Drosophila melanogaster: one gene and its partners. The protein of the gene in region 1 interacts with the protein of each later gene in a pairwise test. Each region holds a gene or a part of one and is shown on either strand. Other genes may lie near its edges.

Region 1 (7,330 bases):
GTATAGCACCAATCTCCCAACCAGTTAACATTATACCTAAACCCATGGTCAAGAGTAAACATTTCTGCCTTTGAAGTTGAGAACACAATTAAGCATCCCCTGGTTAAACCTGACATTCATACTTGTTAATAGCGCCATAAACATAGCACCAATTTCGAAGAAATCAGTTAAAAGCAATTAGCAATTAGCAATTAGCAATAACTCTGCTGACTTCAAAACGAGAAGAGTTACAAGTATTTGTAAGGCACAGTTTATAGACCACCGACGGCTCGTTAGGGCTCGTCATGTAACTAAGCGCGGTGAAACCCAATTGAACATATAGTGGAATTATTATTATCAATGGGGAATATTTAACCCTCAGGTAGCAAAGTAATTTAATTGCAAATAGAGAGTCCTAAGACTAAATAATATATTTAAAAATCTGGCCCTTTGACCTTGCTTGTCAGGTGCATTTGGGTTCAATCGTAAGTTGCTTCTATATAAACACTTTCCCCATCCCCGCAATAATGAAGAATACCGCAGAATAAAGAGAGATTTGCAACAAAAAATAAAGGCATTGCGAAAACTTTTTATGGGGGATCATTACACTCGGGCCTACGGTTACAATTCCCAGCCACTTAAGCGACAAGTTTGGCCAACAATCCATCTAATAGCTAATAGCGCAATCACTGGTAATCGCAAGAGTATATAGGCAATAGAACCCATGGATTTGCCCAAAGGTAACCGAGACAATGGAGAAGCAAGAGGATTTCAAACTGAACACCCACAGTGCTGTGTACTACCACTGGCGCGTTTGGGAGCTCACTGGCCTGATGCGTCCTCCGGGCGTTTCAAGCCTGCTTTACGTGGTATACTCCATTACGGTCAACTTGGTGGTCACCGTGCTGTTTCCCTTGAGCTTGCTGGCCAGGCTGCTGTTCACCACCAACATGGCCGGATTGTGCGAGAACCTGACCATAACTATTACCGATATTGTGGCCAATTTGAAGTTTGCGAATGTGTACATGGTGAGGAAGCAGCTCCATGAGATTCGCTCTCTCCTAAGGCTCATGGACGCTAGAGCCCGGCTGGTGGGCGATCCCGAGGAGATTTCTGCCTTGAGGAAGGAAGTGAATATCGCACAGGGCACTTTCCGCACCTTTGCCAGTATTTTCGTATTTGGCACTACTTTGAGTTGCGTCCGCGTGGTCGTTCGCCCGGATCGAGAGCTCCTGTATCCGGCCTGGTTCGGCGTTGACTGGATGCACTCCACCAGAAACTATGTGCTCATCAATATCTACCAGCTCTTCGGCTTGATAGTGCAGGCTATACAGAACTGCGCTAGTGACTCCTATCCGCCTGCGTTTCTCTGCCTGCTCACGGGTCATATGCGTGCTTTGGAGCTGAGGGTGCGGCGGATTGGCTGCAGGACGGAAAAGTCCAATAAAGGGCAGACATATGAAGCCTGGCGGGAGGAGGTGTACCAGGAACTCATCGAGTGCATCCGCGATCTGGCGCGGGTCCATCGGCTGAGGGAGATCATTCAGCGGGTCCTTTCAGTGCCCTGCATGGCCCAGTTCGTCTGCTCCGCCGCCGTCCAGTGTACCGTCGCCATGCACTTCCTGTACGTAGCGGATGACCACGACCACACCGCCATGATCATCTCGATTGTATTTTTCTCGGCCGTCACCTTGGAGGTGTTTGTAATCTGCTATTTTGGGGACAGGATGCGGACACAGAGCGAGGCGCTGTGCGATGCCTTCTACGATTGCAACTGGATAGAACAGCTGCCCAAGTTCAAGCGCGAACTGCTCTTCACCCTGGCCAGGACGCAGCGGCCTTCTCTTATCTACGCAGGCAACTACATCGCACTCTCGCTGGAGACCTTCGAGCAGGCAAGGCACAATTATATATTCAAATGTCCTTTGATTTGATTCAAATATGATATGATTCACTTGATTCCAGGTCATGAGGTTCACATACTCTGTTTTCACACTCTTGCTGAGGGCCAAGTAAGAACTTTATAATCTCTTTTTGGGGAGAAAAATTTTAAAGCACAATAGCAGAAAAATATATCAGATAATATAACAAAAAAAAAGATCATTATAGTTTTTTATTTAAGTGGTTTATTACTAAGGTATCCAAAAATAAAGCGAAAAATCTGCAATTTCAGATATTTAGCTTTGTTCAAAAGCAACGATTTTTAGGCGGAAGTGAATCAGTCACCGCTATCCGTCGTATCCGCTGGGGCAGCATCAGCTGCAGGTTCTGGCTCAGATGCAATAGCTGTAGCGGGCGGGTCGTCCACCGTGTTGTCTTTTTGTGTCTTCCACATCTTAGCTGCAGCCAGCAACTTGAGATTGGGTCGAGCCATTTCGTCCTCGGGAAAGATGTAGTCGAATACCTCCTCCCAACCTTCCTCGACGCCATTGTCCGAGACGATCTTTTGCCGCTTCTTGATGCGCCGCGGCATCTTGTCCATTACCTTTTGCATCTCCTGCGAATCGGAGGCGTCGCGTTCAAAGTCGCGCCATGCCTCTAGCAACAGAACACGCGACTCCTTGTCTCCCAGCTGACGCAACATCTCGTTGGCTCGCTCATAGATTCTCCTTGCCAGCTGCACGTTCAGCTCCGCATCTGGCCCGCTGTCGCCGTGGCTGAGGCCCATCTCGAACTTGGCAAACGACATCCACACTTTCACATGCTGCGTCCGCTCAAGGAGTCGCTCGTAAAGCTGTCTGGCTAGCTCTGTTTCGCCTAGGGCTACCTCGAAGTCGATGTACGCCTTCCACAGCAGCTCTGGCATGTCCAGGCGCGGCTGCTGCACCGCCAGCTCGAAAATGGCTCTCGCCCGGTCCGTGTCGCCCAACAGATTCTCCAGCTCGGCAAACTTCATCCAAGTGACACAATTCTCCGGTCCAAACTCCAGGAACTTCTCGTACAGCATGCGGCAGCGCTCGAACTCACGCAACTGAATCTCCAGATCAATATAGCCTCTGAAGAGCTTATCTCTGGGACACATGCCGATGGCCAAGCCCAGAGCTTTGCGTGCTCGCTGCAGCTCCTTGCAGCGGATCTCGAATTGGGCGTACAGCAGCCAAAGCTTGCTGAAGGTGAACTGCTTGTGAGGTATTAGCTCCAGACAGGTCTTGTAGATCTGCCGCGTGCGTTCCGCGTCCTCCGCTTCAAGCTCCTCGTACAAAGCATAATTGATCCAAAGGTAAATGTAGCGTCGCCAGAAGTTCTTTTCATTGGCAGGCGGCACGTTGGAAATGGCCCGTTCGTACGTCTCACGGATCTGATCCCGATCGCCCTCAGCCTCAATCAAGCGCAAATAGTCGAACCAGGCATCGTAGTTGGTGGGATTGGCGGCCACCTCCTGCTCGTACTGGTACTTGCGCTTGGAAACAATCACATCCTCAATACCCGCTCTGTCGCCGTACTTTTTCTCGTGTTTCGTATAGGCCTTGAACAGCTCCTGTGTGCGATCTTTAGGTAGGTGATCTAAAGCGTACTTGTAGATGATGCGCGCCCTGTCGTGCTCCTTTTGACCCTCCTCGAAACGTGCAAAGGCGATGAACAGGCGCTCCTCGATGTAGTCGTCACCAAAGAACTCCACAGCGCGCTCAAATACCCGCCGAGAGCCGTGGATAAACCCATGAGACTCCTCAAAGCGGGCGAACTTTATCCAGTTCTTCACGTCCGGGTGCACATAGACAAATCGCTCGTAGATCTCCCGTGCCCGGTCGATCTCCTTGTAGCGCAGCTCGAAGTTGACGTAGGTCTGCCAGGCCTGCTCCTCCGGTTGCCACTCCATCCAGCGCTCGAACACCTGTCGCGCCCCTGCCACATTCTCCAGCATCTCCTCCATGTAGGTGTACTTGTACCAGAACTGGTTGACTCGCGGCATGATGGTCACTGCCCGATCCCACAGATTGCGAGCATGATTCACCTGCTTGTTCTTCATCTCCATCTCGGCGTATTTCAGCCAGAGGGTCACGTTCCGGTGCTCATTGTCCAACGCCCGCTCCCAGATAGAGCGCGCCCGCTGGATCTCCTGCTGCTGCTCCTCCCACTGAGCATATTTGATCCAATGGCTGACTACCATGCGGTTCTTGCGGAGATTGTCCTCGAAGGTCTTTCGCTTCCGCTGCTGATAGTCTGCCAACTCGGCGGGATCGGAGATCTTCTGCTTTGGCGGCGGCGGCAGAATCTCCAGATCTCGCTCCTTGGCCTCACGGAGCAACTGCTCCGCCGTAATTTGCACCTCCGCCGGCGCTTTGTTTTTGACCTGGTGAAATTTTGGATTGGATAAGTTGGTTTGGTGGATTGCCGACGATGGCACATACCTTGGCCACCTTGGGCATCTTCTGTGGCCGCTCCATGCTGTGCGATTCGGGGTCCCTCACTTAGCAATGTTATGTTGGAAAAACGCTAAATCGCAACAAAATAAATAATGCCACTAACAACGTCGTGCGATAACGATAGGCATATTTCGATAGTTCGCTATCGATAATCGCTTTTTGTCTCCACTGGCCTTTTGCGCATTCTACTTTTGAATGTGTGTTTCAATTAAATCCCTTTTTTTGTTGTATTTCCATAAATATATACTAGTATAATAATTGTACATTGTTGGGTTAAAAATAAAACGGATAACGCATTTTTTACTTATTTATTTTTGAGCAATTTCAACACAAATTTAAAAAAAAAATGGATATTTAAGAGATGAAAAGCCACAGGAACTGTTTATCCCAATACACTTGAAACACTTTTAACCGTCTTCAGTTGAAGGAGACTCCTTGCTACCGTGGAAGATGTTCTAGGTAATCATTTGAAAAATCTCCACGAACTCTCGTTCCGCTTCTCCGGCTTCACCACCACCCAGTGATCGGGGTCCATCAGATAGTCGCTACAAAAGGCAACGAGGCGTTACTGAATAACTATAACATGCAGATCGAAACCCACCGATGCTCAACCAAGGCCTTTTGGGTATGGGTCCGCAGTGCTTCTAAGGACCCGGCTCCTCCGCCGTACTCCTCCGGCAGCATCTCCCGCGGCACGAACTCGTACAGCGTATTTATGCTTTGCGTGTGGAAACGGATCTAAAGTGTAGAAAGTAATGGTGAGATGAAGCTATTAGAGACATAATGGCTTCTCAAGAAACCCACCAGCTTGAAGACCTCGTCGCTGATGAACGGCTTCACCACGCTGACGATCCGATCCAGGTAAGTTGGACAGTTAATCATGTGAATGGCGCGCAGGCGCACCGGAAATGCCAGCTGGAGGAACTTGATGTAGGCGCGCAGCGTGCTGATCGTCAGCCGCGAAATGTGCCGCATTGTGGTGCCCTTCATGTCGAATATCTGCACCTCTCCTTCGGACAGGACATCCGGTTTGGCGAGATCGTCCGGCGTCACGAACCGGCAGTCGCTGACCATAAAGAAGGCGCGCGTGTCCTCCGTGTGGTGCATCTGGGGATAGCAATCGGCGGTATGGAGCGCAAGTTCCTACAGCAAAGAGAAGCTATTACTCACCTTGGAGGCCTCGAACTCCCGAAAGCAGTACAGCGACACCTTGCATTTGTCCGGCGTTAGGCCAGGCAGCGGTAGAATGTCTCTGAAATTCGAGTGTTGGGGTATACGGGTATGTATGTTTTTGGAACATGGCCCTGCCTCAAAGGAAAGGGAATCTTTTCTCCCAATAAGGACACACTTACGCGTAGTCAAAGGTGCGCTTGCTGTCCGCGTCTAGAGGATCCCTCTTGATAAACAGGTGAGGGTGCCGGTTGCGCAGGGCGTAGTTCACCTCGATGAGCTTCCGAGTCTCCTCCACGTCTCCAAACATGCACTGGTAGAAGCGCCGGAGCAGCAGCGGATCTGTTAATACACATATGGTACGATACAATGAAGTTTTTGCTAAGGAGTTAAGCCCATGGAACTTTGCACATTACGGGAATATTAATTAATTCAAACATCGTGTTGGACATATTGAATTGGGAAGTGCGGTTCGATTTAGGGAGACTTGCCTGTACATTCACTGTTTGTATACAATTGACTACAGTGACGTAAGGCGGCGAGCGGAGCGGCCTACTAACGACCTAATTAATGGACGGTGGGTGGTGGGAGGTGGAATGGGACTGATGGGCAGTGAACGGATGTTGGATTCCCGCACGGTTTTCGGGCTCATCGCTTACCAATCTCCTTGGGCAGCTTGTCATTTTGCCGGAACCACTCGAGGAGCTCCTTGAGATCCCGTTCCTGCTTCCGCACCGCCTGTTCCGATGTGTCGCTATCCTGTTCCCGCTGCAGCTGCTCGGACGTACCGCTCGCCCCAGTCTCTCTCACACCTATGCGGCTCATTGGTGCTGTGGCCTGGGTATCGATTGCTCCGTCGCTGTTCCCTCCGCCAGGTTGGTCTGCTATCGGCTATCGGACGCAGCAATCGCTTTCGAATCACTTTCAAAAACGCTTTCGAATCACTTTTAAACCTTTGGGCTTGACGCCTGGCAGCCGACTGACTGACAGTTGCGCATCGATTTCGCTCATCGATTTAGTTTTTGAATATTCAATGCTACTGCGTTGGCAATTAAAGCCACGTAATTTTTTAATGGCTTTTCGGCCATCGTTTGGACGACGCTTAATAGTGCCTAAATATGTTCCGTTCCAGCTTCTGGATCTGCCTAATCACCTGGTCGTGTGCCGCATCCCAATGCCATCGCAAGTAGTGACACAATTTTCACTTTAATTGATAATTCGCGGGATGGGCAATTTTTCTAAGAAGCGTTTGTTTTTTGTAATCATAGAAGAACATTGAAAGCCACCTGGCTTTTGGGTGTAATAAAACCTCATAAAATGTAATTAATATAATTTATTGTTTTGTCAAGTATATTGTTCCCATTGCTGTCAATCAATCGACAATAGCCCCTTATTTGATAATAGAGAAATTGGTAAGAAAATAATAAAATATGAAAATAAGAATTCTTAATGGAGGGCCAGCTTCACTGAGCTCTAGAACCTGTAAGTGTTTCTGGGACTTTCCCAACTAATCGATATCTTCGCTTGGCAAGACGCGATGCTTGATCACATTTATGTTTATATCACGTTCGATGATCAGGATATCAGAACCAGGACCACCGACTCTTGCTCTGAGCGGCCACCTTCCAGTACCGCTCGTCGCTGAGATAAGCCCTATGAAGTACAGAATGGGTGGCTAAGATGGACATCCCCATCTAAAGGTAATACTCACGCGTTGTCCCTGATGGACTGAATGCCTTTCGCCTTGAGTTCCGCTACAGTGCCCGCCTTGCCGCCGTACTCGTTCGGCAACATGTCCCTGGGCACTTCTTTGTAAA
Region 2 (5,717 bases), about 16 Mb from region 1:
ACTTGAAACTTACGCTGGGGGAGTCATGTATACCCTTACATACCCTCTTATTAGATTAAGTTATGTTAGAATACACATGGCGCTAAGCTTTTTGTCTGAGCTTAGCTTTATTTTTAGTCAGTAGACAAGAAGACCTCGATCTGTACACATCATTGAATAAACCCTCAATTTGTTAAGCGAAACCTTTCGTTTTGTTTTAACCCCTCTTTAATCGACAAAGAAGTCGATGGGTGCTTAACTGAGGAGTTCAATCCTTCAACCTACAGACGACAACGAAGTCGTTTCTGGAGGCAACGATCTTTTGGACACAACGGTCTCTGCTCGGAAGGCCCTATCAACCTTCCACATAACTATATATGTATGAAATCTTTGAAACTTGGACTTAAAATAACTAACAGGTCTAACCTTCAGTTTGCCAATTAAATTTGGTTATTTTTAGTTACTCATATATAGTAGATGTATTCAATTAAGTTAATCCACGGCTTCTCGCAGTGCAGATATGGATATTGAAATGGATGCACACGTGGCCACTCAAAGGATTCGGGGCTCATCATGTATGTTTGGACTGCGCTTCGCTGTGGCCAGTTGAGTCCAACCCCCACCACCCATCCAGTGACCTCGTTCCCATCAGCATCATCCTCGTCCCAATTAGCCGCCGGCCAACCAGGGCAATTGTCTCCGTTCATTGATGCACCACTCGGCGGTGCAAGTGGTGGTGGACTCGAGCAGAGGATGTCCATTCCCATGGATGTCTAATAATACCCCAACAATCGAAGTCCGTCGCCGTTGCGACTGCGACTGGCTGCTCGGATAAATGGATCCGCCAGTGGGATGTACGATGGCATGGGACGGATTATATTAACTCTATAAACAGATTCAATGGCAGCAATTGTGTGCCAATGCGAAGGCGGTCCGTTCAAAGCAATATTAATGCATTTATTGCACGTGAGCTCGGCGGCGTGTTAAAGATGAGCGTTGCCGATTAGGAATGACCCATCATTAGCCATGATGAATCTGGTAAGTGGGGCCAGTTAACTGACCAGCTAGATTCCACGGAGCACGTGCCGATGGTTTATTAGTAATGAAATGCTGTTGGGTCATATAGGATGGATTTGGGCTAATTAAGCAACTAACTAGAGTACATAACTCGAGGCCAGAAGTGCACATTCAAACTCTTCTTCAGGCAAATCTAACCCTCGTAACTTCGTAAGCCATAATCACCATTTGATAAGCCTGAAATGCATCCACCCCTCTAAAAACCAACAATTATCATCACTTACAAAATTTATTCTTGCTTGCCCTAAACAATTCCTCTTATCAAATACCACGAAAATTTACGCAAAAAAAAAGGTGTGTGAAAAAAAAATGAAAATACTAGTTTTGGAAGTCCTTGGAATAACAGCTCATCATCATTAGAAGCTGTAGTTGAGATTGCCGCTTGAGAAGCTCACATGAGAGACGTCCGGCGATTGCTGGTAGGTGGGGGATCCCAGCACGGAGGACATGGGAACGGCCATCCCATAGCTCTGGCGGGTGGTGGGCGCCAACTGGCTGGTGGCGAACTGATGGGCCACCGACTGCTGCTGGTCACGGAGCACGTCCTGCTGCTGCTGCTGCATGAAGCCCATGTGCTGTTGCGTGGAGTAGAAGTCTCCACTTGCTCCCCCTCCCAGACTGTTGGAGCGCAAAGGCGCTGATCCGATCACTCCTCCCGGGATGACTCCAACTGGACCTCCTCTTACTGGACCTCCGGGCACAATGGATCCGGATGCAAGGCGCTCGGGCTGCAGGCCATTGTTGCTGAACTGCGGCCGACGGTAGGCGAAGCGGCCAGCTGCGTTCTGTGCTGCCACGCCCGCCGGAGCGCCTCCCACATCGGCGGGAGCAGCTATCTGGGGGGTTTGGGGTTGAATCTGATGAGCCGGTGATGTTAGGCCGCCGGATACATCGGGATAGTAGTGGTAGAGCTTCTGCAGCAGGTGCTGCTGCTGCTGCTCGAACTCGGCTCGTTGGCGCTGATAATCGAGGAAGGCGGCGTGCATCTGGTCCGCATAGCTGGGCATGTTGACCACGCCACCGCTAACGCCCACTCCTGGTCCGGATGCAGCTGCTACCTGCGGCGATGTGGCGGCCAGGAGTTGCTGCTGCTGCTGCGCCAGGAGCTGCTGTTGCTGCTGTTGCTGCTGTTGCTGCTGTTGCTGCTGTTGCTGCTGTTGCTGCTGTTGCTGCTGCTGGAGCAGCGAGTTGGGCGTGACCTTCAGCTTACCATCGGCCCGGAATCCTGGCTGCGAGTACACGGCAGGATACTGCTGTCCCGACGGCGAGAATCCACCAAATTGCGTGGGAGTTTGCTGCATAGGTTAGAGGAATAAACGGATGAGAATGGAAGCTAAACCAGGACAATTTTATCCTTATTCTGAACTGGCTTAAATGATATTTAGATGAGTGTCTAATGTGCGCAAGTAGTAGGCCGTTTTCGATGTGTAACTTTTGATTTCGTTTTGTAAAATATTCATACAATTGAGCTTATAACACGCTTTCCTTTACTCACGGATGAAAGGCCACGCCCGTGATTCTTGATAATTGAGTGCTGGGAACCCAGGCATCCCTTTCCCCACTGTCCCTCCGCGTCAGCCAATCGACTGGCGTTGCCCCCACGAACTTTGCTGGATCTCATGATTCCCTGTTGTTCCGTTTGTCGCGATGTAAACTTAAAAGTTTTGACGAGAGGTTGTGTAGCTCGAGTGTGGATAGCCAAAAATTGATTTTCAAATTCAGATTTTGATACAATTTGTTTACGAAGTCTGTAGCGGGAAAAATTGTAAAACGAACCGATCTGAACCGACTGAGCGAGCAAGTGATACTGACTGGATAGCTCAACCAGTCCGGTGACACCTGACAGCTGTCGTCGGGCCAATCCGAAAGCCTACTGTGATCTCTACTAGCCATCGGTGCCATGGTGTGGATTCAAATCGATATGTATCGAAGGGAATCACGCGATTCGATGGCTTAAAAAGCGCGGATGCAATGCCGCAACCTTACAGTTAGAAACGATGAATCGCCATCAGCTGGCACTTCTCCTGGTTGTCGCGGGTCTGGCCATGATTGCGGCCAGGCCAGGTCCACAGAATCCGCTAGAGTCGCTGGGCATGGGCGCCATGTCTCTGGCCGGAAATATAGCGGAGGCAGTTCAGAGTGGCGCCGCCATCTCCCGCGACGTCGACATTGACAATCCCCTGATGTCCGTGCACTCGAAAACGGCCGTTGGCTATGGAGATGCCATACGTCCCATTGCCACCGATTCATCCGAGGAGGATCGTCGTCGGAAGCGAAGGCGGCGGAGCCTGCATCGCCTCAAACGCGCTCCTTGCTTCTGGAAAATGAGCGCTGCCGCCACCACAGCGGCGTCCGCCGACGATGACGTGGAGGCCAGACGGAGACGAGCTCAAAAGCGGGCCGCCAACAATGCCTCCCGATCCCGAGTGAGTCCCAAGACCACTGGCAAAAAGAACAAGAAGTTGGTGCGACGACGACGGCAGGAGGAGAAGGGCATGGAAGTGACACAGAATATGGACGGAGCGGATCCCTTGGGCCTGGGCACCAGAATCAAGGCCATGTGGCTTTCGTTTGTGAACAACGTAGCGGATGTGGTGCAGCAGGTGCGCCAGAAGATCACCGAAACGGCCAACTCCACGGCGTAGAATCACCGAGCTCCCTGACGACCACCATCGAGTGTATTTTTTTTGTTTGTTTATAAGTGCAATAAAATCAACTGAAAACCGGAAACTGTGTTGAGCGGCATGTTTTCTGGGTTGGCCAAAAACATTACGATTACGTCTTCATTCAAATATGTACTATAGATTACATCCATTTTAAGACCCCATCATATTATCAATGTAGTAGCCAATTAAGGCCAATCACCTTTGGTAAAAGGTGACCCCAAACGGCATTAGAGTCAAAAAAAACGTGTACTCCGTCTTTAAACTACAAATGCTTGTGAGCTCAACTAAACATATCACCAAGGTGACCCAAAACTTGGAATCCGGTTACCATTTTAAAGTGGCATACCTTTAAGAACTCAACCTTATTTGTTGCTCTTTAAAAAGGTCACCGCCGAAGAGTCACCCCCAATCGATAAAGATTCCTCAGGCAGAGGCAATAAAGCAAAAAGCGAACTGTCATTTCTGAGCAATCCGATCGAAAGTGGTCCGAGGAGAAGGCCATTGGGGTCACCACAGCAACTCGACTACTGAAGGCTGTCCAGATGGGAGATACGGAAACGAGCCGAGTCACGATGAGCCAACGGTCAGTGGGCACTTCCGGGCCAGATGAGATGCATCTCGACATGCATTTCGAACATTTCCGTGTCTGGTCGAAATCTGATTGAATTAAAAAGGCTGGGTACAAAAGGCGCATTCAGGTGGCTGGGCACAACAGTTGGCCAAATGATTTCCGGACCCAGATTCTCTGCCCTACTAATCGTGGCCCTGACCCTCGCTCTGGTGGCCCAAACTTGGGCCGACGAGTTCGATCTGGACTACTCCAACGAGTACGACGATGTGCGACCGCATTTGGTCTATCCCGACGATCCAAGGCTGGACAAGCGGATCGGCGATGCGGCGCGGGAGTTTGGACAAAATATAACCCAAGCCTGGAACGCGATGGTGGACTCGTTTAAGAACTACTTTGAGGAACTCAAGAACCTTTTCTCCGACACCACGGATCTCGATTCACCCAATGAAGTATTTTCTAACCGCTGAAATGGGCGTTTTACTTTCGTTTCGAGCAAATAAAGCGTAGCAAAGAATTTAAAACATTCATTTGATTTGGGAAATATCATCCGTTGAAAGCCAACTTGATTGCTTTTGATTTAGGTACATTTCCAAGCGGGTATTTATAATTATTTTTTGAATACTACAAAATGACAATACTAAGTAATATGGTATACATCTGCGGATGATAACCAATTAGGCACTGAATGATTCGGCTTAAAATGCTTTTCCAACCAACAAAAATGAGATTTTTTCATCTCTGGTTTAATTAGATCTGTAAGCCACTAAGCTAATTGCCAATAACAACCTCGCATGCTAACTAAACCAGATGCTAGATGTTGCATCTAGATTATGTAAACATGAAAACATATCTGTTTTTCGCGTAATTAAGCAGAATAACTAGAAAGTGACAGGTTAAATAGCTGGCTTTCTTCTTGGCAATCAATTATTGGGAAGTGAAGCCATCACAGGATGACATCGCCTATTTTAATCCTGAGTCTAGGTCTGCTCCATTGGAGCATTTCGCCCGTCTGGTCACAGGTAAGATACTTCGTACTCGTATCGTATATCCTTGATACCCAAATTCCCTGCAGAATATGCCCACTGATGTGATGGACGCCGTCGATCAAATGCAGGAGATCTTCGAAAACAATATGCAGGGCCCACAAAGTTCGGAGTATGGTGACGGGACATTCAATGGAACGCCCTTTCTACCCGAACAAGCATCGAACATCCAAAACTTTGGCGGTTAATTTCAATTCGAATTCCAATTCATAGTACTACTCTAAAGCAACGCCATGTGGCTAAATATTAAATTAAATTGAAGAGTGTGTCCGCAACTTTTTCCCTCGTATAATTGTTATCCAGTGTTTTCTTAAGCAATTTTAAAATTCAAGTTTAACTTTATGTGCTTTTCCCAGAGTTTCAATAGTAGATTCACCCCTC
Region 3 (8,613 bases), on another chromosome or scaffold:
CTGCATTCGTTACAAAAACACACAACGAGCGTCGGAATTGGGGTTAAACAAATTGGAAAACAAACGGAGTTCAATAACAATGAGTTTCATGCGATTGAAAATTACTTTTTTGGTTTTCTTTGTTTTACAGAAAAAGCGCGAATTAAATGTTGCGTCCATCAAGCACGAAGGATAAACTCTTTCTGATTGAAAAGTAAGCGAAATGAGGAAATTCCCTTCAGCTGGCGAGAGCTTTTCCCATTAGAGCTTTCCTCTCTCAGTTGCTCTCAGTTGAGAGAGATTATTATCCTGCGTGTGTCAGAATTTGTGCAGTGAAATTCCAAGGAAAGCCGCACAAGAATAAGGAACAGAGAGCAACGAGAGAGCGAGAGAGAGAGAGAGCAAAGCCGGTGGAAGGAGGCAACTACTGAACCCACCACAAACCATCCCCCTCAGCAGCATCCGCTCTCCTCCTGCCAATATAAACAACCATTTGGGATCTGTTTCCAGCTCTGTGTGAGTGCGCTATATGCTAGATAAACAAAATATTAGGGGTGTATAATGAATGCTTGAGGGTTTTTTGGAAGTTGCCCGCTGCTCCACTTGGTGACAAATTGCTGAAATCTAGTCGAAGTGCGAATACGCTTTTGTTGTTTTTGTACGCAATGTAATGGAATTTTGTGACTGCAATGTAGAAAAACAAATAATATATTCCTTAAATCATCCCAAATGAAACAAATAAAAGTACAAAGAAAATTAGAAATATTCAATCATACATAGAAACATTTGATAATAAAATAAATCTTGCACAGCAATTAACTAATCGTAAACAAAACATTAATATAATTTCTTTTAAAAATATTTTTCGGCTAGAATAGATAAATTTGCTCAAAATTTAAGCCTTTATTTTAAGATCTATAACTTCGTTGCCCTCCATATCCTGGTTATTGGGCGTATCATTTGGATCCAACAAGTCACCGTCAAAACTGAAATCACCTCAAATTCAGTGGATTGTCTCTACTTTTTCCAGCTTTTAGTACTTACAACAATTTAATGGTTCGGGGATCACAGTTCAACTCCTCAGCACACTTAATAAATATGATTTTGAAATTATCAGTTTTCTTCATGGGTATCACCAAAGGATGCTTCCATTTATCCGCCTGTACTTTAACTTGAAACTTCTTAGGTTTCCGGCAAAGAGCTTCTGGATTGTAGTCAATTTTAGCAGCCACGTTGTTATTATTGTGACTCTTTGTTGGATGGCCAGCTGTTAAATAGTTGAGAAATTTTCAAATAATAATATATATCTGAATAGAGGACACCTACTGAGCGTATGAAATGATTTGAGACCAATGCTGTGCGGCGTATCCTCAGGTCCAACGAAGTTATAGTACATATCCACCGTTATATCATTCTCATCTATCCCATTGCGTGATGCTAACTCCTTGAACAGATGCTTAAACTTTTGGTGCTGCCGCAATTTATAAATCTGGATCTCGCCAAGCCTGCATAAAAATATTTATATTAATCACGAAAAAGGATAAATATATTAAAACTTACCACGACAAAGCTACTTCTATTGTGGGATTATCGTTATCAAAAATATTTTCTTCCTCTACGACAGGAGGAGCCTCCTTTTCACCCTCGTCTTCAGAGTCTAGATTAACCTGTGAAGAAATAAGTATAATATTAGCCTTATTGAATAGTACAACTTCTTTCTAGGGACTTACAAATCCCTCCACTCGGGGAGCGACCGCAGATACCAGATCAATACTGTCCACCACTTTGGAACGGGCTGCAACTTCGGCCAACGTCCACCGTCTGCTAATGTGCTCATTGTTCTGCTACAAATATGAAGAGATTAGAAAATACCCAAGATCTCTATTCGAAATTTCAAACATACACCTACAATGCTTGGCAATGAGACCTCCATCGAAGCAGAGTTGCTGGTTGTGGTTGTTAGAGATGTTCTCTTTTTTTGGCCGCGCTTCTTTGGTTTCGTCTGTGTGGGCACCTCCACAGTCGGTGAAACAGGTGGTGGCGCCATTTCTGACCTATTTAACGATGACCGTGTGCGTCTGGCCACAGGACCAACGTCATTTTCTTTGGCGTGCTTCTCCACATCCGATTGCTGGCCATTTTTCTTTTCCATCTCCAATATCAACAGGGATACCGGTGATAGGGAGCGCTCTGTTCTCATATCCTCTTCTGGCTCCACAGCCTTATGTTCTGCCTGTTTTGGTGGCGAAGCATCATCCTGACTTTTGGGTGGATTTTTCCGCGTCGCTGCAGGGTTCTTTCGTTTGCCAGTTTTAGTTGATTTCTTGGGGAGGTCTTCAATGAAATCGTAGTCCACCTCCTTGGAGAAGGAATCATTGCCAAGATTGTAAGGATTCTTGGGCAAAGCTGATAAAGACGACAAAAGCGAAGGTATGTGGAAAAACTTGGATTTCTGCAGTTTAAAGCTAACCTATTTCGGGAATCCGCTTGCGAGCAGCACTGAATATATCGCAGTCGTCGTCGGACATCGTGGGCACTCAGTAACAGTCAGTAATAAACCAATAACGGCGCCAAACAATAAACACAAACACAAAACCAAATAGACGCCACAGTGGTTGCAAGGAAAATCGATATCCGATAACTACTGTGACCAGGGTAGCCACACGACACGAGACCACGATCAAAGTATTTGCTGGTAGTCAAATGTAATTTACAATTCGATTTTATTTAATGTGTGTATCGATGATTTGGACATGTTAATTATTTGTATTATCACGATTGAATTCACTAAATGTTTGTACAAGCCTACTGTGACGTAGAGCAACTCTGGCCGACAGCTGTTTGGCCAGTGTTGACAAGCGCCACGCCGTCAAAAGCAAATCTCATTTAGTTTCCAACGCTGCTGGCCTGGCAAAAGCAAAAATCGAATGTATTATAATAAAGGCCCGTAATGCTATTGAAAATAACTTAGAGCCTCGCGACCAGAGGCTTTTCCGCGTGTGTGTGTGCACTTGTGCGTGTGCGTGTGTTTGCCCTTGGGTGCGTGTGTGTTTACCTGGATTCCCTAAAAAAAAATCAGTAAACTGAAAGTGAGAAAAAGAAAACGGGAAGAGACGACAAAGTCTGCCTGCGTGCCATTTTTTTCATTTCATTTTGCGTGGAATACTTTGAGACGACGCGATGGCCTCCACCAGCAATCTGCTGGACGTGGTGCGCCACTACCAGCGCAGCATTGAGAAGCACGGCGAGGACGAACAACGGGTGAGCTATTACCCTCATTGGCACCGCCATCGCATCCCTTTTGATCCACTGCTTACTGCCTTCCTATCATTCAAGTCCCCCATTTTCCTAACCATTTAATCACCCCTATGTACCTGACCTGGCTGGCTTTCCCTTACTTAACCTTGTGAAATTCGCAAACATATGTACCTCCGCCAAGGTCACTTTTCTCGACTTTAAGTCGCTCTTCTTTTCCGCTGACCTTTCACTCACACGGTCTTTTGCTAATCTTTCTTAATCACCTCTTTCGCTACCTGCTCTCCCGTCGAGCAGCTGCTGCACTGCATCACCAAGCTGTTCAACCTGCCGATCAAATTCGAGCACCTGCAGGAAACGGGAATTGGCAAGACGGTGAATGCCCTGCGCAAGATCAGCGGGGAAGTTGGCGTGGCGGCCAAGACGCTGGTAACCAAGTGGAAGGCAATGGTGGCGAAGGAGGACCCTTCGATCGCATCTACGCCTACAGCCATACATAACGAAGAGGACTCGGGCAAGACCAAGTCCAGCGACGAGGATCCCGACCAGGAGAACAAGGGCGGCAACTCATCCAGCGGCGAGGACTTGAACACCAGCAAGCACAAGTCAAAGCATGCCAAGAGCACCAAGCATGAGCGTAGCAGCAGCAGCCGATCTCACTCCAAGAGTAGGTCTGACTCGGATAAGAAGCACAAGAGCTCTCGCCACGATAAATCCAAGGATAGAGATAAAGATCGGGAGGGTCAGAAGGAAGCTAAGGAGCACAAAGAAAAGAAGTCAAATGGCGAGCACAAGTCAAAGGATTCCAGCAAATCCAGCAGCAGTCACAAGAGCAGCAAATCCGAGAGCCACAAGAGCGAACACACCAAAAGCAAGCACGAAAAGGTATGCTTTCCTCTTGATCAAAAGTGGTTATTGTTCTTATGCATTTTTTTTTCAGGACAAAACTTCTCACAGTGAATTAAAGGAAGTCAAAGACAAGTCGAGCAAACACAAATCATCGTCCTCCAAGTCATCAAAGCGCTCCCATAGTCCCCCACGCCACGAGGAGGAGTCCCAAAAAGCAAAGATACCAAAAGTTAAATCGAAATCTGAGGAAGATTCCGCTGATGGTTTTGACTCCAGCATGGGCGCAAATTTTGACGATGTTCTTGGTCTGCTAAACATACCCATAAGTAGCAAGAAGAGCAGCAGCAACAGCAAGAGCAAGTTTGTCGCCAAGCCAACTGCAGCCCCTTCCTCGTCAGCTCTATCAGCACCTACGACTGCTGGGTCATCTAAAGAGGCACTCTCAACTAGCAGTCGACCGACCTCCAAAGTAATTAGTAGAAATTCATTTTTATAAGTTGTGGTAACATATGTTTATTCTTTAGAAACCCGAACTGTTGGCATCCACAGCTAAGCTGGAGCCCTTGGATCCAAACATTGCACTAGAACTTCCCACCATATCCAATAACTACAAGCCCATGCCATTAAATCAGACAGTTATGGACGTCGTCTTTAACCAGGGTGGCTCACACAAGGCGCAAGCATCACGATACTTTAATGAGTCAGAAGCTCTAGCGCAGGGCATCTCTTCCAAAACTATGCGGTGAGCTAGGATATTATAATGTGATGCACAAAGTATATCAACTTTTTATACTTTGTAGCACCAAGATCTATTCGGGTGTGAGAACTGGTCAAATCCTGCAGGTCCCTTCCCTTTTTGATCTCTGCACCCGCGTGCTGCAAAAGAATATTGATGGTAAGATCTTACTAATGGTCATATCGAATGTAAATAACCATCTTAATTGTTTTTCAGCATTGGAGTATACGGGTGGCGTTCCGTTTGAGGTCCTACGTCCCGTTTTGGAGCGAGCTACCCCCCAGCAGCTGCTTAACTTTGAGGAGTACAATCCTTATTTAATGGATGACAGTGATGTCCTATGGCAACAGCATGTCCAACGTCACTGTCGCAGTCAGCGGCGTGAAGAGATGGAAACGTGGCGCGAAATGTTTTTGGTAGGGACGCAAAGACCCTAAATTAATGCAAACTAAACTAAGCTGACACAAAAATTTCGTTCTAGCGCTGCCAAGAGGAAAAGGATCGCAAACTTAGCATTCTGGCCGAGAGCATCAAGGCATCGCAAAAGATAAGCGAGGCGCCTGTGCGCAAGACGCAATTGGCCTTTGTGGACTCAATGGTGAAGCCGCCGCGTAGTGTGCAGCGCAAGCAAGAGCAATATGGCACCAAGGGCAAGCTAATTGCCACTCCAGCCGCCCGAGTGGCCGCCTTGTCCAGCGTGACTCCAAATGCAGCCAAGGTGGGCGATGCCCGACTACGTGTGCTGGCCGCTGCCAGGGACACGGCCCAAGTGGGTAAGTATTGTAATGATTGTGGTTAAGAATTAAATTTACCTATAATTTTTATTGAAAAGGGGCTGGACCAGCGCGATCGAAGAAGGCACCTCTAATGGCGAAGACCTTGCAGTTTATGCGCGGACGTCTCAAACGATAGATGCGCTTACTCATTATAGCTACAATCTTATACTCAACTTCTTCAGCGACAACTTAAGCAGCAGCAGTAGCAGCAACCTCGATCTATTAGGCATTCACGGTGGGATTACCTTCCAACTTTATTGGCAAAGACTTTCAGGTCTGAATAAAGTGACATTGTGATACTAGACCTTCTACTTCCCAGTGCGCTGTGGAATCAGACTGCTGCTGTCGGCATGCGTAGCATATGCATGCTATTTATTATTTATTCATGTTCTGCCCTCTTTTATTACGCTGTATAAGTCACTATATTTAAGCCAACCGGATAAAGATAAAGCTTTTGTTGCATCCCGCTGGGTCGTAGACAAGCTCATTTACATAAGTTATGATATTTGATTATAGTTGTTCAATTCATTGATTGCATGTAACTTACGATCAGAAGGCTGATCACTCCAACATTATTTAAAAATTAAGTTCAATGTTCTTTGTTCAAAAGGGCTGTGCGTATGTCCAAAATCATAGAGGTTCCAAGCTGTATATAAATGTATTTACACAATCCTAAACCTATATGAAACTACCTAAATTATTGAAGAACAGTAAAATGTCTCTTAATGCATCGCTAATTAAATTCAACCAAAAAATTCTATATTACCTTTAGATTTATTTAGTTTTGCACATTTTTAGGTATTGGGTAAAATGTTAATATATTAAAAAAAATCACTTCAACAATTGAAATTCGATTCGAATGCTCGTCTTATTTTTAATAGTTACACATTTTTCAACTTTTGTGGAAATTGGCCACTCATTACTTATGCCATGACTTCGTTTTGAAAGACATTCTTTAGCTGTGACCAGTAGACGATGCAGGTAAAGGCATTACACTGTAACCAACTCGTTTTATTCCACAAGAAAGCTACCAGGATTGTTAAATCAAAAGAATTATTTATATAAAGAATTGTTTCACACGATAGTAACAATAATATACAACTTATTACAAAATAAATTATTTTCAAACATAAGTCGTCACTAGAAAGTCTAAATTCGGGCTGAACTTTCAACCGTCTTCTTTAAGTGCCGATGCAGTAGAGCGTCTTGCTGGTCCCGTAAAAAACATCGACCAAGCGCTGGCAGGAACTATTGACAGTAAGCACACGATTCGTTGTAGCTGATGATGAGCTTCCAGCACTACTGTTGTCACTGTGGAGCAACCAAAATAAATCATCATTACCAATATTAACAAATTGCTCCGTTTCCATTCCACAAATATAACTAACCTCATGGGCGATAGTTTCTTGATGTCCCACAATCGCAAGGTACCATCGCTGCACGCTGTGGCCAGGTGCCTATTGTGCGTGCTCCAGGAAAGAGAACTAATGCTCGCCGAGTGATCCTTGAGCTCAGCCAGCTGTGCTCCGGCGGCCAAGTCGAATATACGCACCTTCGTTTCCTCTCCGGCGGCAGCCAACATCTTTCCATCTGGGCTAAACGCCAGCTGGGTCACCGCCTGACGGCAGTCGGCAAAGACACGCATCAATTTTCCGCTGGTTGCACACCACAGGCGAACGGAGTGATCTGCCGATCCTGTGGCTATGTAGTTGCCATTCGGATGGAACGCAACGCACTGTCAGAAAAAAAAAATATATATAACTAAAAGTTCAAAGACATTTTTGGTTAAACCAACCTCAACATCCTGTGTATGCCCGGCATAAATTATGAGCGCATGTTCCTTCTCTAGCGACCAGAGGCGCGCACTCAAATCCTTGGAACCCGTTACCACGTATTGGCCCACTGGACTTTCGTCCAAGCACCAAATTGGGTAGTTGTGACTTCTGTATATGGCGGCGCAATGCAGGTTGTGGGCACGCCAGCACCGCATGGTTGCGTCTTTGGACACACTATACATGAGTGGGTAGTGGGCGGAGAAGCGCACATCGGTGACTCCTTTTGTGTGACCTCGCAGCTGAAATCCGCCGTATTCGTTGCTAATTAGAAAAAAAAAACTTTAGTTGATTAAAAATTGAAAAATAAAACCAATACTAAACCTGGAAGATGAACTTACTAGGAGTTATCAGCATATTTGCAATGTCGCGCCCTGTTGCGTTCCCGTCTCTCCTCCTCAGAGCACTTGACATCCTCATCGCTGCTGTCCTCATCCGTCTCCTCCTCTTGATTCGCGCAATTGTTCAGCTCCCAGGGACACCGCTTTTGCGGATAGCGTCTGTAGAAGCTCTTGCCGCGGCAGTAGCTCTGGTTTAACTGCCACAGCTGTACGGCAGAATTGTCGAACCCGGCTAACATGTGGCACTCACTGGGATCCAGATGGGCGGAGGTGAGGCCCCGAGAACGTTCACTGATTCTGAGAAATCGCGGCAACTCCACCTGAGACTTGAGTATCTGTTCAGTGGCCGATTTAAGGGTGTCCAAGCAGGCGTCTATATTCAGTTGTAATTTACTAAGCTCTGCAGATTCATCCGTTTCTACCTCCTGTTTGATGTCTGTTTCTAGCATAATGTTTGGCTCCTCAGCGGGTCGTTTTCGGTTCGACTTTTCAGTGAGGGATTTGCTTGGTCTTATGTCTCCGCGGGTATTAAGGGTTACTGCTGGTTTGGAAACAACATCGTCCTCTCCATCCTCACCTTCCAGGTCATCCGTCAAGCCAAGCAGGTGATCCTCACTAAAGGCGCGCTGCTCATTCTCCACTATATGGACATGCAACCAGGTGTAGAGTAGGTTCATAATTAAAACGTGGCCCCGTCGTTGGAGATAAGCGCATATCCTATTAACAACTACGGCTGTAGTATGTAGTTCGTATTTCGAAGATCGAAAATGGGCCACTGTGTCATCGGACTCTGCTGCCTCCAGCCGTGTGTAGCCACTCAGGGTTTGCACCAGGCGCATAAAGTA
Region 4 (7,643 bases), on another chromosome or scaffold:
TGTTGCTGAATAAATTGGTCAGAGCAATAAATTTGTACAGCGAGCCACGATGTTCAAGAATTTCCGGCGCAAGCACCAAACACACAACATATTGCAATTAATAAGAACACTCTTTTCCCAAGAGGAAACAAGCTTAACAATGTTAAATGCGGTAACAAACTTATTTATAATTTTATAAAGTTTGTTACCTTAAAATATTAAAGTAATCATAGATCATTACTCAGCTAGTGGAAATTACAAGAAAGTAACACTACGTTTTATATTTTGTATGAATAGGTTGGCAATCTGGAGAACTAGTAAATTTCATTTTCAATTTAAAAACAAGAACGTAAGCTAGCTTCGTCAAGCCATTGAAGTATGCAAACACTCGTACAAATATGGTAACAAATGGACAATATGATTTCATTTCCAATATTTTGAAACATTTTCTATGGCAGAAATATTCAATAGTCAATGTGTTGTATATGAAAAGATAAATCGATAAGTCCACCAAAAAGTGATAACAAAATTAACAATGTAATGTGTAAGAAGGACATAGTAGGTCAATTTTCATATTAAAAAGGAATATCGGTAGATATTGGAGAAACAAATTGGAAACTAATGGGAATATTTATGCAGATAGCTTTAAGGTTAACAGTTAACTGATAACGCCGAAGTTCATATTTTTACTTTATTTATTAAAGAAAAGGCTGTTTTTAAAATTAATTTTTATAAACATCGTAATGAGTTTGTTATATTAAACTTTAAAACCAGATGTAAGTCCTTCTATTGCCAGTTTGTATTTCAGTTGGAACGGGATTGGACAACTATATTACATAGCCACAATATGAGCTTTTGAAATACACAACTGTACTTCCCTTAGTTTTCGGTATGATCCATATTTTTAACAATATATTGGTATAACTTGATCGAAATCGGACGACTTTATAATATAGCTGCAGTAGGCGAAGTCAAAAAATTATTTGCAAATCATAGAAAAGAAATCAAAGTGTTCTTTTCTTATTCGGTAGTCATCCGTAATTTGTAAAGCATCAGCTTGCCGAGGCAATCTTACTTACACGCTTTTATTTGATAGCTGATTGTGTAAGATGGCATTTCCATATTTGAATGCACTTACCTTACGCAACTCTAAATTCAATAATTTTAGAGGCGACATCGGTCCCCGCTTTTCTCACTTCTCTGCAATTAGCAGAAGCATCTTGTTCATCAGCTCATTAGCTACAGTCTCATGCAAAGTGTTCAATCTGGCGGCCAGAAAGTCACCGAATTTCATGTAGAGCAGTTCTCTGGAGGTAGGCACGTGTCGCGCCTGAGTGTGGGCTCTACCCATACCCCTTCCGCAGTCGCCACCGTCACCGATATAAATGCTTCCGACCGAAAGTCTGCCGTCGGCACCCATCGTCTCCGACTGGCCGACGATTGGTGAGCAGCGTCCGGTCACGTCGTCGTCCTCGTCGAAGTCGTCCAGATCCTCCTCCAGGTCCCCGGCGTCGGTGTCAATAAGCTCGTTGTTGGCATTGATGATCAAATGGGGCGGCGACGTAGCGTACGATGATGAGTTTTTGGGCGTGGGCAGCTGCAGACGCGCTTTAAGTTGCTGTTTGGTCTGCGGACGAATTGTGGCCAGCTTCTTCCTTGTCGCCTCTGGTCCATTTCCGGTCATCACTTCTTCCGGACAACCCCCTGCCGGAGAACACGGCTCGTCCTTTATATAGATGGAGGGCGAAGAGCTGCATGAGCGCGAGCTGGACAGCACCTGGGCGGGCGAGGTTTGTGCTAAGGGCGCGGGTGTGGCATTGGTAAGGGAAGTGGGTAAAGATTGTTTCTGCAGGGAAGTCAGCGTCACGTCCGGTTGCAACTGTAAGGCTTGGAGATGCTGGGCCTGCTGCTGCAGAGCCACCGGCAACTGGCTGAGGGTGAGACTTAGACTGGGAATAGTCACTGGCAGACTACTCTTTGGTTCGGGCTGCAGCTGGGGCTGATTGTTCGGGTTGTTGGGGTCGCTAGGAGCAAAGTACTGATATTCGTCTAGGGCCGCACTGCTGCTGTTGTTGTTGCTGCTATTGCGGCTTACGCAGTTGTTGTTATTGTTGCTGCTGCCTGTGGCTACTGGTGCTGAATCCAAAGAGCCGTGCTTGATGCGCTCGCGAGATCTAAAAAGCAAAAGTTGTAATTAGCTTTTTTGGAAAGCGGGTGCTTGCCTCAAGGTTAGCAGATAGGTGCTATGATGCAGATCCGCAGGCATGCATTTCATTCTTGCCTGTTGGTCAGTTCTGGACCGACCACATGAAACAAATTCAAAGTTTTAATAGAATTTCTATGTATACCCTTCCTAAATGCTTAAATTTAGATTTGACTTGCACACAATCCTTGTGAATTATCTAGACATTTATATTCTTATCTGCGTCATTGTTCTTATTCGGTAGACAACAGTTATTTTCTTTAACTAGTTTTTATTTGATTTGATTTCAGTAAAATCAATGTAAATTTATTGTAACCGAGGAAGGTGACTTGCGTATTATTTTGAGAACTATCTCGACATTTATATTCCCAATCCCTTACACTAATCATTCTTCTTATAACAATAAAAACTTAAAAATCGCGTAAAATCAAAATCTAAATGTTGAATATGTAAATATGTTTAGGCTTTTAAGTGACGGTGATTATTTCGCGGTCACCTCTCTCCGAATTTGCTCAAACAACTTTTTCAGTGATTATAATCGGAACACAATTGCTGTAGTCGAAAACCCGACTATCACATACCCGTTACTCAGCTAGTGCGAACGCGAAATTCTATAATTTTCCTTGCTTGTCGATAGATATTGGGGAATTAAAATTGTTGTGAGCGGTTTGAATTTTTCAGAAGAGGCGTAGCCAAAGTGTTTTTGGTATATCGGTAAGATAAAAAAAATGAAACCAAGAAAAATGAAAACATTTTTCAAAAGTGTGGTATTTTATAGTTCCTGAGCTCGAGGCTTGGCTATTGATCCTGTTCAGAAATATATATATGTACCTTATATGGTCGAAAACGCTTCCTTTTACCTGTTACACACTTTTCAACGAATTTAGTAAACCCTTTTTCCAAAGACACTAGAACAAATAACTGGAATGTCCAAAATCCCTTAAACGGGATCTACATATATCATAAGGTAGTATTTTAGGGCAGGTCAAACGTCGTCTTACTTGCGTTCCCGAATGACCTCCTTGAGGAAGGCCATGGCATCGTAGTATTCCCACTTGGACTTGAAGCGCGTGGTGCCCAGCATCTTTTCGTGGTTCAGCTCGCGGCGGAAGATCTCGCGGAGCGAAGTAAACGTGCGCTGCACCCGCTCGCCATTAACGTTGAAGAGCCGCCCCAACTCGTTCCATTTGATGGCTTTTCGCTTGTCCGAACGCTTGTAGTGTGGCAGGCGGCAGTCCCAGAGGATTGGGTTGAGTCGCACGAGCTCGATGAGTCGGCGCTTCTCGATGTTGTGGCGGGAAAAGGCCATGCTCCTCCGCTCTCTGCTCTTTCAGTCGCTGTTGGCCGAAATGCAACTACCAAAAAGGCCACTGCGCATGTCCTGTGTCGCCGGATGCTGCGCTGCAAAGTAAGTATAGAAATGAGGTGAGAAAATCGTTAAAGTTGCTTGTGCTGATGGTCGCCATGTTCGTTGCATACTTTTCGGCGTATTTCTCGGGTGGGTGCTTAGGGGTTCAAAAGTGTTGACACACGCACCCACGCACCTTGGGTGCAATGACCCCAGCAGGAGGGGTGTTTTTGTTTTCGAAATCGCATACGCACAGTTAAATACAATTGATTTTCGGGAGTATGGGTCCCACTGAAACTGAGACAACAGAGGGGACAAATCAAATACGGGAAATCTGCTTATAGCAGACCCTACAAACCCCAACCCCCACCTCCCCCATCAATTAATGTATGTATTCCACTTTCCCATAAGAGGCTGTTAGTTAAACAATAATCGAATACTGTAAACATTGGCATTCTGAGAGGCTGACTCGGCAGGAAAGTATTTACATACGATTTCGTGTGCCGATCGAGGAATTTCAGCTGCTACTGTTGGTCTGCGACCGATCTGATTGTGGAGGGAACAAGACTACACAAGGATTGGTATTGGTAGGACGCCTCCTTCTCTTTGGCTGCAGCTTGAACTCATTTGCAGTGCACAGCACGCCACACACTCACTAATGGGAACACACTGGGGTCTATAAATAAACGCATGTGCTCTTTTTGGTTATTGCCACCAATTGCTTGTGATACCAACATTATTCACATTGTTCGCTCGGAATTCCTTAGATGTTCTGGTTGTTTGTCGCTTGTACTCAAAGTCGTCTGACGCCTGGAATGGAACTAAAACCTTTTGCTCACAGTTTTGTTTACTGCTGCTGATTCGCTGTTGCGTCGCTCCGGCTTCTCTTTATTAACAATATGAGCAGCAAAGTCGGGGAATTTATTTCAATTTATTTCAATTAACAACAAATGCGGCCGTTGGTGCTTTGCCATGCGGCGTAGTTGCTGCCACTTATTGGGGATGCTGTTGTTATGTGTTGTGTTGCGAGTTGCTCGAGGGCCTTGCCACAACTATTGGCTGCCACAGATTCAGATACAGATACAGATGTTCGGCAACACGGCAAAATAACCACACTCATACACGCGCCCGGCCCTGTTGTCAGTGTGAAATCGCGTATATGTATACACACATTGCCTATGCGGACAGCCGAGAGAGACGAAAACATCAAAAAACAACACGAATAGCGAACTTTGACGAAAATCTGCAGCCAAACGGGCAGCTAACTTGCGATTACTACTAGTGAACCTGTCACTATTTGGTACATCCACTTGCCACTTTTCACTTGTCACCTCTCGCTTGGCCGTTCGTTGGCTTGGCAGCTTCCTTTTAGAGAGTGCGCCGCTGCTCTCCTCGACGATTGTCACAACTGCACAGCAAACCAACTTAGTTTTCTTGCAAATTGGCGCAGCAGCACAAAGAGAGCCGGAGAGAAAGTGAGCGAATGGCGCTTTTCTTTTCTGCTCCGCTCCAGAGCGCAAAGCACGGGAGAGAGAATGAGAGCAGAGGATGCTATTGTTGTTGTTGCAGTGCCGCCTACGCTGGTGTAAACAATCGGAGGCTGCCAATCCTATGCTATTACACTACACAACAAAAGAAATTGGCATAGTGAGGGAGCCTAGAGGGCTGCGTGAATAATGTAATTATAAACTCAACTTTTTGTGTGTGTGTGGAGTGATACGAAAAGATATTTACTTGGTATCTATTTAGGACTATATTAGACATATCCTCCACTCAAACGGGACGCATTTTAAAATAAATAAAATGAAATTTAATAAAAAAATGTATATTATAGGAAACCTTTAAAGCCGTCTTCTTTAAAACACCTTGGTGGAGTACCGGTAAAATATTAGCCATCTATCTATTCATCGAAATCATTACATAAATGGCATTATATATATTCTGTTTATCTATTCTAAAATATATAACTGATAGCTGAAGAAATAGCTGAAGTTTGGAAATGTTCTAGTCACAGTGTTTCAAACTTTGTTAGGCAGTGTTATTTTCGCTGTGAAAAATATTTATCGCCGTTGCGGTTCCGTTTGTGGCAGTGACACGTTATCGCCGAGCCGTGCCCAGTGATTAATCCAAGAGTGATAGCACTAAGTGGCTTGTGAGCGCTATTTGCTTACCACCAGCCGGATAAATAATGAACGGATTGCACCCAGGATTGGCAGCACCCGGCAATGAGCGCAGTCTCCGCAAAGCAACAATTGTACGCTGAGCTGTAGCTGAAGCAACAGCTTGAGCATGAGAGTTCCGAGAGAGCAAGGGATGAAGTCGAGGTCGAGTTTTGGTAGCAAGCTGAGCTGTGGCACAGGAATGAGCGAGGGAGGAGGCAAGGGGCACAGAGGACGAACTGCGGATTAACAATGGTAGCCACTCGCTCTGCTCGCGCGCCATTCGGCATTCGGCATCTATCATCCCATTTGGCTGCACTGCTGGTGCGGATATTTAACAATGCGAACAAGCACAAACAAAAAGGCTGCGCACACACACACGCGCGCTGGCAAATATTCAATTTGCCACTGCTGCAATCAACTTTATTGCCCGCTGTTGCTGTTGCTCTTGTTTACTCGTTGTTGTCTCCCGCTTGGTCATCTAAAAAATAAGCTTTAAGAATGAACTCGTATTTATCAATCGCACCAACACAGCCATCCGTGTTTTCGCTCTCCCTTTCCTTTTTCAGCAGAACGCAGCATACCGCTTTGTCTGATTCTGATTCGACTTATCAGTATGCGTTCTCGGCGCTGATGAATCTGCAGTTGAGTCGAACGCGGTCCACAGCTTAAATTAAATCCATTACTGCAATGTAATCCGTGGTACACAAATATTTTCGGATAGGCAACAGCATGTCACGGGCGTGTCAGATTGGGATAAAATCAGCTGAGTAGGGCGACTTCGGTTCCGTTAGGGGCCAGGGAAAATTGCCTATTATTTTACGTAGTAAGAACATTCATATTGTTCTATTGATATATGTATTTGCGATTTAAGTTTAGTTTTTCAATTCACAAAAAAAACTTATAAATGTGATTCCAAGTTGTTGTGCCATCCCGGAACAGTACAAACCATTAGAAAAAATTGACCAACTTTTTTACACGACGCTTTAATGGTGTTTCCATTGCACTATGGGAAATTTACCCACTTTTTGTGCACAAAATTAACACCTTTATAAAGGAGATATTAAGATATATTAAGATAATTATACTCGTTACTCGTAGAGTAAAAGGGTATACTAGATTCGTTGAAAAGTATGTAATAGGCAGAATGAAGCGTTTCCAACCATATAAAGTATATTTTCGAGTATCGATTTTTGCCACGCCCACTCTAAAACCCTAACGTACAAAACAGCCATGCCTATATAATTTTATTAGTCTTGAAAATTTCTATTGATTTGCTAAAAAACCTTTTGCCACGCCCACTCTAACGCCCTAAAACCTACAAATCGACCAAAACGGTCACAATTTTTAAATTGTCCTCCTTTTATTCCCCAATATCTATCGATATCCCAGATATGTTCGAGGATTCACTTTTCACCCAAGTGAAGCAATTTTGGTAGTATTATGTTTGATCTTTGTGCCACAGCATTTTGGTTTGAATTCTGGTTTTCTGGATCCATGTGTTTGGAGGGCGATGCAATCGTCTAGGATGTGGGAAATTGATTTCGGTACGTATTGCATTGACGGTTGATTGGCTGGGAGAATCGATGCTCATGGGTCAGTCTGGTGTGTCCTACGTAGCCTCACGATTTTTGTGATATCTCTTTTCTTCTCTTCTCTTCTGGGTACATAATAGTTTTTACAGTGTTTGGTATCATCGGTAATGTTTTCGATAATTTGGGGTTATAGATTGGTAGGTATCAGGGAGATGAATTCCTAATCTAATTGGTTTTGTCATGTTGGCCTTTTTTTTATAAATATTTATATCGGTGCCATTATAATTTCTGACGGTTAATAGGGTTGTTGCATTGTCTTTGATGCCGATATGACTGGACATCCATAGAATTTTGAATTTAGGAACATGTTTAATGCTGATCGTTATAGAATGGTGTATTGTTTATCTTATTAATTGCTT

Evidence for each region.
Region 2: the proteins of crn (region 1) and CG6290 interact in a two-hybrid assay, tested with the Drosophila melanogaster proteins (one large-scale study listed by BioGRID).
Region 3: the proteins of crn (region 1) and EloA interact in a two-hybrid assay, tested with the Drosophila melanogaster proteins (one large-scale study listed by BioGRID).
Region 4: the proteins of crn (region 1) and CG12768 interact in a two-hybrid assay, tested with the Drosophila melanogaster proteins (one large-scale study listed by BioGRID).

What each region holds. Positions count from the first base shown.
Region 1 is NC_004354.4:2,245,500-2,252,829, forward strand, and holds crn (crooked neck), read right to left. Parts: upstream 4,485-7,330; 5' UTR 4,365-4,484; coding exon 4,329-4,364; intron 4,271-4,328; coding exon 2,198-4,270; 3' UTR 2,095-2,197; downstream 1-2,094. Other genes in the region: Or2a (odorant receptor 2a), read left to right, coding at 732-1,874, 1,945-1,995; CG3191 (uncharacterized protein), read right to left, coding at 4,807-4,888, 4,945-5,081, 5,148-5,450, 5,514-5,595, 5,696-5,855, 6,173-6,338; CG3091 (uncharacterized protein), read right to left, coding at 7,097-7,166, 7,225-7,330. UniProt on the Drosophila melanogaster protein: May be involved in pre-mRNA splicing process. Involved in embryonic neurogenesis and cell rearrangement during Malpighian tubule morphogenesis.
Region 2 is NC_004354.4:18,434,451-18,440,167, forward strand, and holds CG6290 (uncharacterized protein), read left to right. Parts: upstream 1-3,039; 5' UTR 3,040-3,053; coding exon 3,054-3,701; 3' UTR 3,702-3,783; downstream 3,784-5,717. Other genes in the region: CG32548 (uncharacterized protein), read right to left, coding at 1,413-2,351; CG32551 (uncharacterized protein), read left to right, coding at 4,446-4,760; CG43841 (uncharacterized protein), read left to right, coding at 5,244-5,312, 5,366-5,524.
Region 3 is NT_033777.3:23,248,718-23,257,330, forward strand, and holds EloA (elongin A), read left to right. Parts: upstream 1-2,845; 5' UTR 2,846-3,159; coding exon 3,160-3,240; intron 3,241-3,531; coding exon 3,532-4,119; intron 4,120-4,174; coding exon 4,175-4,552; intron 4,553-4,607; coding exon 4,608-4,825; intron 4,826-4,883; coding exon 4,884-4,978; intron 4,979-5,035; coding exon 5,036-5,235; intron 5,236-5,300; coding exon 5,301-5,592; intron 5,593-5,651; coding exon 5,652-5,731; 3' UTR 5,732-6,354; downstream 6,355-8,613. Other genes in the region: Rad60, read right to left, coding at 875-965, 1,024-1,246, 1,306-1,484, 1,540-1,646, 1,710-1,823, 1,883-2,385, 2,450-2,507; wda (will decrease acetylation), read right to left, coding at 6,777-6,906, 6,984-7,330, 7,391-7,691, 7,769-8,613. UniProt on the Drosophila melanogaster protein: SIII, also known as elongin, is a general transcription elongation factor that increases the RNA polymerase II transcription elongation past template-encoded arresting sites.
Region 4 is NT_037436.4:22,907,774-22,915,416, reverse strand, and holds the start of CG12768 (uncharacterized protein), read right to left. Parts: upstream 4,927-7,643; 5' UTR 4,845-4,926; intron 4,585-4,844; exon of another isoform or gene 4,266-4,584; intron 3,828-4,265; exon of another isoform or gene 3,662-3,827; intron 3,584-3,661; 5' UTR 3,492-3,583; coding exon 3,184-3,491; intron 2,154-3,183; coding exon 1,172-2,153; 3' UTR 1,118-1,171; exon of another isoform or gene 659-1,117; intron 1-658.